Daphnia pulex: one gene and its partner. The protein of the gene in region 1 interacts with the protein of each later gene in a pairwise test. Links are inferred from orthologs where the notes say so. Each region holds a gene or a part of one and is shown in the gene's direction. Other genes may lie near its edges.

The links. The genes of interacting proteins can lie anywhere in the genome.
Region 2: the proteins of DNA repair protein REV1-like (region 1) and DNA polymerase iota-like interact in a two-hybrid assay, tested with the Homo sapiens proteins (2 studies listed by BioGRID). The link is inferred for Daphnia pulex from reciprocal best matches to the Homo sapiens genes REV1 and POLI.

What each region holds. Positions count from the first base shown.
Region 1 is NC_060017.1:8,178,882-8,183,078, forward strand, and holds the start of DNA repair protein REV1-like, read left to right. Parts: upstream 1-1,257; 5' UTR 1,258-1,725; coding exon 1,726-1,779; intron 1,780-1,847; coding exon 1,848-2,490; intron 2,491-2,549; coding exon 2,550-3,028; intron 3,029-3,094; coding exon 3,095-3,469; intron 3,470-3,529; coding exon 3,530-3,622; intron 3,623-3,686; coding exon 3,687-3,815; intron 3,816-3,879; coding exon 3,880-4,063; intron 4,064-4,131; coding exon 4,132-4,197. Other genes in the region: alpha-(1,3)-fucosyltransferase C-like, read right to left, coding at 1-1,199. UniProt on the Homo sapiens protein: Deoxycytidyl transferase involved in DNA repair. Transfers a dCMP residue from dCTP to the 3'-end of a DNA primer in a template-dependent reaction.
Region 2 is NC_060019.1:7,787,826-7,791,524, reverse strand, and holds DNA polymerase iota-like, read left to right. Parts: upstream 1-1,349; 5' UTR 1,350-1,423; coding exon 1,424-3,007; 3' UTR 3,008-3,045; downstream 3,046-3,699. Other genes in the region: egalitarian protein homolog, read left to right, coding at 1-130. UniProt on the Homo sapiens protein: Error-prone DNA polymerase specifically involved in DNA repair. Plays an important role in translesion synthesis, where the normal high-fidelity DNA polymerases cannot proceed and DNA synthesis stalls. Favors Hoogsteen base-pairing in the active site.

The sequences.
Region 1 (4,197 bases):
GATGTCGTGGATCTATTATTATTACCGTCAATACTGCGAAAAGCTTTCACGTAGCGCGGATTGAGACAACGGGTCGTTGGGTTCCATGTCGACAAAACATCAGCGGGCATTATTTCCTTCCGGTCATCCGACAGATTGAGTTGTGCACAAAGAGAACACAAGGCCTGGCCGCCCATCTCTTCATATCCACTGCGGATAATGTAACTGGTTTTCCATTTCAAGTACCTCTCGTAAAGTGTTTGGTTGCCATCGAGCAACAGCAAGTAATCGGCCAGTTGTTTGGGTGAATAACTCAGGGCGTCGATAAATGAATACGGCGGAGCAATGTCGCTGTAATTGGCCCTACCCATGACAACTGGCACCACGTCAAGCTTCAATATCGAATAGAATTTCTCCGTGACGTAATGGCTGCACAGTGAATTCTCAAACGACAGATAAAACTTGTATTCCTTTTCCAGCATGTCGTAACATTCCGGATGTGAAATCCCCGTATCAGAGTTCCATTTGCATTTCAACGGACCGCAAAGACCAAAGATGTCGATAGGGATGTGCTTCTGCAATTCTCTGACGTAATTTTCTCGCCGACTTTGAGTTGTGTTGCAATGCGAAACAAACCAGGCGACCAGTTTTGTCTTTTTCCTTATTAGATAAGACTTGGATTTTAAATCAACCGCTGCCCGTTCTATCCGGCCATACGGATAAGGAATGTTTGATTCGGGCAGATAACTCATGGTCCAGTTGAAATATCCGATGTAATCCTTTTGGACGTTTTCCTTGTGATAGAAAGGTGATTCTTGGCTGAAAAAGATGTAATATTGATGACTCTCCCGTGTGTCGGCTGGTGGCAGCTTGTCAGACTTTTCCAGTTGATGAAGCACAGCCATATTGAAAATAATGGCATCAAATTTGCCCAGTAAGTTTGATCGACGATCAGTTGTGACTCGACAATTCCTGTACGGACACGAGTTATTGTTGGGCAAACTTCTAAGAAAGACTTTCATTTCGATTCGATCGTAACCGTTCCACAATAGAATGTTCTTCGTCTGATGGGACTCGGATAACACATCATTAGGGTGGATGCGCACTATTACTCTTTCCCGAGTGATCGATGTCTGATGATAACAAATTATAGTGATCACAAACATTATTATAATTCCAGCCAAGGATAAGTACCTAGAGACACAATAACGTTGTTCCATTTCTGGGAAACAAAACTGGCAGTTTATCGTCTTCTTCTGATTAACACACAAATACGAATGAAGATAATACCCCTGGCAAACCATCAAATGAAAAAGAGGATACATGTAATTATCTCCGGCCATCATCATCTGCTATACATTTGGGAAGTTTTATAATTGTTCAAACAGGAAATACTTTGGGCGTTCCTCTTCCCATGCTCTTCCTTTGTTTCCTACATTTTGAGATTTGTTTTCCTGATAACATTCAAATCTTCTTTAGTAATTGGCATATCTTTTTTTGTGTCTTTCCACACTTTCAAAAAGAATAACAACAGTCCTGATCCAGTAGTTTTATTTAATTTTTTAAAAACTAAAATTTCAAAATATCTTTTCCGAACACGCGATTTACAATATCTGGCAATGCGCAATTTCTTCTGCCATCTAGTGATATTTTTTGAAACAATTTATGTAAACAAACGTGCACAGCAAACTCAAATGTAGTGGAAAATTTTCTTGCAAGTGTTGAGATTTTCTTTTTTATTAAACGATGGCTGGAAGGGGTAAAAGGAAAAATAGGGACGATAATGGATTTGCAGAGTGGGTGAGACGACTTATTCGACTTCTGACACTACTAATTATGTTATTCATATTTGGAATCATTATTTACAGGGGGGTTATATGGCAGCAAAAATTTCTAAACTAGAAAATCAGTATTTGAATGAACAATTCAATGAAGTACAAGAAGATGATAAACTAAGCAATGTATTTTCAAATGTTGCAATTTTTGTCAATGGATATACCAGTCCAACTGCAGAAGAACTGAAGCGCATCATGCTGGCCAATGGAGGAGTTTACCACCATTACTATAATTCAAAAACGACTACTCATATAATTGCGTCCAACTTGTGTGGTGCTAAAATCAAGAAACTCAAGGGCGACGAAAAATTTGTTAAGCCAGAATGGATTGTTGAAAGTCTGAAAGCCAATATGTTATTGGATGTGAAGCCCTATTTGCTTTACACTGGGCTAACTTTAGACAAAGGGCAACAAAAGTTGGACATTGCTTCAATACAGAAGAAAAATGATGACAATCAAACAGCAATAGAAAGAAAAATTGATGAAGCACATTCCTCTGAACCTGTTCCACCTGGTGATATTACTAGACATTCAAGAGAAATGAAACGCGCAGGAGAAGACGATTTTTTATCTGAATTTTACAAACGCTCAAGGCTTCACCACATTTCCACAATGGGAGCGTTATTCAAAAGACATGTGACTGAGCTTCGAGAGAAAAATGATGGTGTTTTTCCAGGTACAATTTTGATAGCAGCATTTTATTAATGCAATTACATGTAATATTTAAAAATTTAGGTATGGAAAGTATTGAAAACTGGAAGAACTTGACTGGTTGCCTAGGAAACTACAAGTGTGAAGAAACTGTTTTCATGCACATTGACATGGATTGCTTCTTTGTCTCGGTTGGACTGCGCAACTATCCATCGTTGGTGGGTAAACCGGTTGTTGTGACCCATGCAAGAGCTGACGCTAAACCGCTTCCAAGACGCGAAGGCAGCAATCGAGAATATGAATTCGACTGCTATAAAGAACATTGGATCAAAAAATCGAAATTTTCAGAAAATAACAGCAATGCTGTTGATACGGTGGCTACGCTTTCAGATGTTTTTCCACGACTTCAGGATTTGGATGAAACTTGTTCCATGTCCGAAATCGCTTCGTGTAGCTACGAAGCTCGCGCAGCTGGAATTTATAACGGAATGTTCATGGGAGGTGCCTTGAAATTATGTCCTAATCTGGTTGCCATTCCGTACGATTTTGAAGGATACAAGGAGGTAATACATTTACAATCAATTATTTAAAATCTTTAATTCATTTTTCCGTTTGTGGGCGTGTTTAAGGTGTCCACCTCGCTGTACAATACTGTTGCCGCGTACACTTTGGACTTGGAAGCCGTCAGCTGTGATGAGTTGTACGCAGACATTACCTCCGTTTTGCGCCAAAGTGGACTCACGCCAGCCGAGTTTGCTACTCATTTGAAAGAAGTCATCTTTAATAAGACACAATGTAACGCCTCTGTCGGAATGGGCCCGAATATGCTGATGGCTAGGCTTGCAACCAAAAAAGCCAAACCGAACGGACTGTTTTATATCAACAAGAAAGACATGAATGAATTTATGAAGGACCACAAAATTGAAGATCTGCCGGGTGTCGGAAGGTCCATGGCTCATCGACTTCATGGCATGGGCGTTCGCACTTGTGTTGAAATGCAGCAAGTATGTGTACATAGCTTCTATTTCATTAAACAAATATGTAATTGTGTTTCTGAAAATCAGGTAAGCTTGGGAAAGCTCCAACAAGAGTTTGGTCAAAAGCAAGGACAAACATTATATCATATGTGCCGGGGAGAAGATAAACGCGCTCTAAAGGTATTATCTCAGTCTCAGGTTAACTTTCCATTTCAAAATTGTTAATATTGCGTGGTCCACATAGACGGACCACGTTCGAAAATCTGTTTCGGCAGATATAAATTATGGAATTCGTTTCGCAAATGATCAGGAAATGCACAAATTCGTTCAAGAACTGTCCATTGAAGTGTCCAAACGAATGGAAGAAATTCACGTAATTAATTTAAACATTTTTTTAACAGCGAAAGCAATTTTAACTTTGTTAAATGTCTCTTTAGGTGAGAGGAAAACTGTTGACTTTGAAGCTCAAAATCCGCGCCAAAGATGCCCCTGTAGAAACAGCGAAATTTATGGGTCACGGAGTATGTGATAGCATTTCTCGATCCACAACATTGTGTTCTGCCACTCGCGACACCAAAATCGTCGAAAAAGAAGTTCAAATCCTTTTGAAACAACTCAAAGGTAGTACGCTATATACCTTATCCTGCACAAACCATATTATTCTAACCCATCTCAATTATTCTTTACAGTTGATTGCTGCGAGTTGCGGGGAATGGGCATTCAGTTTAGTAAACTTGTAGAGGATAACGTATTCA
Region 2 (3,699 bases), on another chromosome or scaffold:
TGGCTGTCAAACACTTTCCACCGGTGACATAGTAATCACCAAAGTCTATTTCCCTGAGGGGGACACTTCTGCCTCGGATATTTGCCTAACGCCTTCACCCAAAAAGACGAAACCTGCCCAGTTTCAGTAGAATTGCAATCTTTCGTAATTACGAAGTGTCTATGCAACATTTTTATTCCTTACTATTTATATGATTCTGTTGATTTATCTCTTAGAGTAAGGAAGTAGCATGAAAGCTATAGATACCAGATAATACTGCCTTAGTGTGTGAATGACAAGGTTGCTTGACACTCTTGTGATGAATTTTATGTTTTTGTAATCATTTGACAAGGCCTTACAGTGGAAACTAATTTCTGACTTTTCCTATATTGAACATTTCACTTTTTAAATCTGTTTAAATAGAAGAAACAATTAACTTTTCTGTGCATTGCACATCTCTTGACAGCAAAGAGGACTGTAGTGTAAGAGAATATTTTGTTGTTTCATTAGTGCTTTTTAATGCTTATGGGGATTCCAAAGCTGTGTACATTACATTGTCTTGTCTTGCAGGTCTGACAAACTTCTTTTAATGGAAGTGTGTTAAGAAATGGAACTATCAAATCTCACTAACAATTTTAGCTGTCCTCAAAACACTTTCAGATTTTGAGGAATGTGTATTTTGAGGAAAATGCAATCAGTCAATACAAAGTGGAAAAGAGTATCATGTTTTAGTCTAGTTTGAATCCTTTTTTTATGAGGTCAGCTTTGGCATCAACTATCTCTTGTTTTAGCTCTTTGGCAGCCTCCTCGCAGTCATTAAATGTGTAGACTCTCCAAGCAATTATTGAAACAGAAATCACCTGCAATAATGAGGGAAAAAATTGCTATAGATAATACGCACCATATCATATAAAAACAAAACTTACTGCGAATGCGAGTAATACGTAAAATGGTAGGAACAGAACGAAATGCCGGGCAAAGTCGCTAGAGTTTCCAACTGGTGTACTGATAAAGAGGTAAGCCCAAACACCAGCAAACAAGCCTGCACCACCCAACCATTCAACCAATTTTGTCATAGTGAATAATTGACAGAATGACAACAAGGAGAAAAAACGAATGACAGAAAGAAAAGAATTTGCTGGCGTGTCATGTAAAAATCAAATGTCATGAATTTCTGCATAGTTGCCTGAAATACTTGATCATTTTCATATGGTTATCTTTATTATTTCGTGATATTTTAAAACAACACTAATTCATTTTTTAAGTTTTCTTCATTTCAATCAGAAAATAATCAATTAGCTTATGAAATATTTTGAAATAATGAATTTTCATTTTCTTTGCGCTTCGGGCTCATAGTAACAAAGCAGACGACACTACAGTGCTGTCATTTGCCGGTAGTTGAATTGTTATTGTTTGTTTAAACTTTTTCCTTACTCTTTCCGAAATGGAGGAAGAAGATTTAGGTGACGATTTCTCGTACAATAGTGTTGCCATTCAGTCAAGTGAAAAACATGAACGCGTTATCATCCATATAGATATCGACTGTTTTTATGCCCAAGTTGAAATGATTCTAAATCCATCTTTATGTGGCAAACCACTTGGTATCAAACAGAAAAATATTGTTGTAACCTGTAACTATGAAGCAAGAGCGCTGGGTGTTGAGAAACTTATGTCAATAAAGACCGCACTAGAAAAGTGCCCTTCCTTAGTACTTGCAAATGGAGAGGACTTGAAAAAGTATAGAGACATGTCAGAGAAGATTTATCAAATTCTTCAATCGTTCAGCCCATTTGTGGAGAAACTTGGCTTGGATGAAAATTTTATTGACATTTCCCACAAAATCAACAAGTCCCCTGAAATTAAACCAGAAGTTTCTGGACACATTTTCGAAGAAAAGAACAGTGATGAAACTTGTGCATGTGGTTGTACAGACAGACTAAAAGAAGGTTCTATTATTGCTCAGGAAATGCGAAATCAACTAAAAAGTGAACTTGGAATCACCTCCTGTGCTGGAATTGCTTGTAACAAGCTTCTAGCTAAATTGGTTGGAGCAACCCATAAACCAAATCAGCAAACCACCTTGTTCTCAGCATCATCTTTAAACTTGATGAAATCATTGAAGCATCCTAGAAATATTCCTGGAATTGGTTCAGCAATGAACAGAAAACTAGAGGTTCTTGGTATTGACACCATAGAAAAACTTCAAGCAGCAGATTTGTTTAAGCTTATTGAAGCACTTGGAGTCAAAACAGCTAACCAAATTCAACAACTGAGTTTTGGGATCGACGATAGTCGTGTCAAAATAACCGACAGACCGAAATCTATTGGAGCCGAAGATGGATTTCCTACAATCAAAAGTGAAACTGAAGTGCGCAAGAAGCTCAAGTGCCTGCTAGATCGAGTTTGGGAGTTAGTGGAGAAGGATGGCCGTAGACCAAGTCAAGTTAAATTGACAGTTCGGAAATTACATGCGACCAATCACAGTGTCAGAGAGGCCCGCCAGACTGCAATAGATCTTACGACTGGAGTTCCTAGCAACGCGCCATTAGGACCGTTAAGTGAAAATCAAGAAAAAAAAGTCATCACGACTCTAATGAATCTCTTCGAAAAGGTAGTAAATTGCGATGAATCGTGGCAAGTTACATTGTTGGGTATTTCGTTCTCTGGTTTTCCCTCTGGCATCGAAAGCCCAGCGAAAAATTCCATCAACAAATATTTTACTAGTTCATCGCGACCGAACGAAACTTTGCCACCTCCAACTAAGCGTGGACGCTTTGACGAATCTGTCCTCCAAGAATTACCTGATGACATCCGTCAAGAAGTTTTAGAAGATATGAAGTGTCAAATACCATCATCAAGCACCTCCCAACAGTCAGCAGATTTTGATTGTCCAAAAGGTGTCGATCCTCAAGTTTTTCGCGAGCTCCCGGTGGAGATCCAGAAGGAACTGCTGGCTGGGGAGAAAAATAAGAAGCCAATCGCAACCAAAAAACCTAATAACTTATTACAGTACTTCCGTAAAGTGTAAAAATGTGTTCTGTAGTAGCTATAAATGATCAACAAAGACATGTTATTTCATGGATGGGATATAATTTTAGCCACTTCCTTATCTTTCGAGACCAAAACACCTTTTCGGCCATCTTGTCTAGTAATTAGCAACAACCAACGTTAAGGTAAGTGAGGCGTTTTGTTTCCGTTTTGTTGTTGTTGTTTTTTTCTAGAATACTTACTATCCTGGCATTTTTAGTTTTTTTTTAAAGATTTTGAAATTTGAGGTTTGGCCACACAGAATGCTGAACGACCAATTTTAGAAATCTTATATTATATAAATATTCATCGAGTTTGCCGATTGTTGTTTAGTTTACATGTATATGTATGAAAAAATGAAATTGTCATTCTAGTTGCATGTCACCGTCGACGGTTTCCAGGACATGTATGGTGACGGTTTACATCATACAACTTATCCTTTTCTGGAACTCTATTACTGAACAAAAGTAAATAACCAACAATTTCTAATGTAAATTTGCTTTCTTGCTTTCACTTCATACGAGACGTGTGCAAACTAGCAGACCCTAACATTTCACATACCGCTAAATGTTATTCGATGTTATTGACTGAAACTTTTTTTTAATTTTGCTGCATAAGAACTGTATTGGCGTTTTCAAGGATTACTTCCGAAAACATCGTCAACTACATTTTAAAACAATATAAATTTGGTAC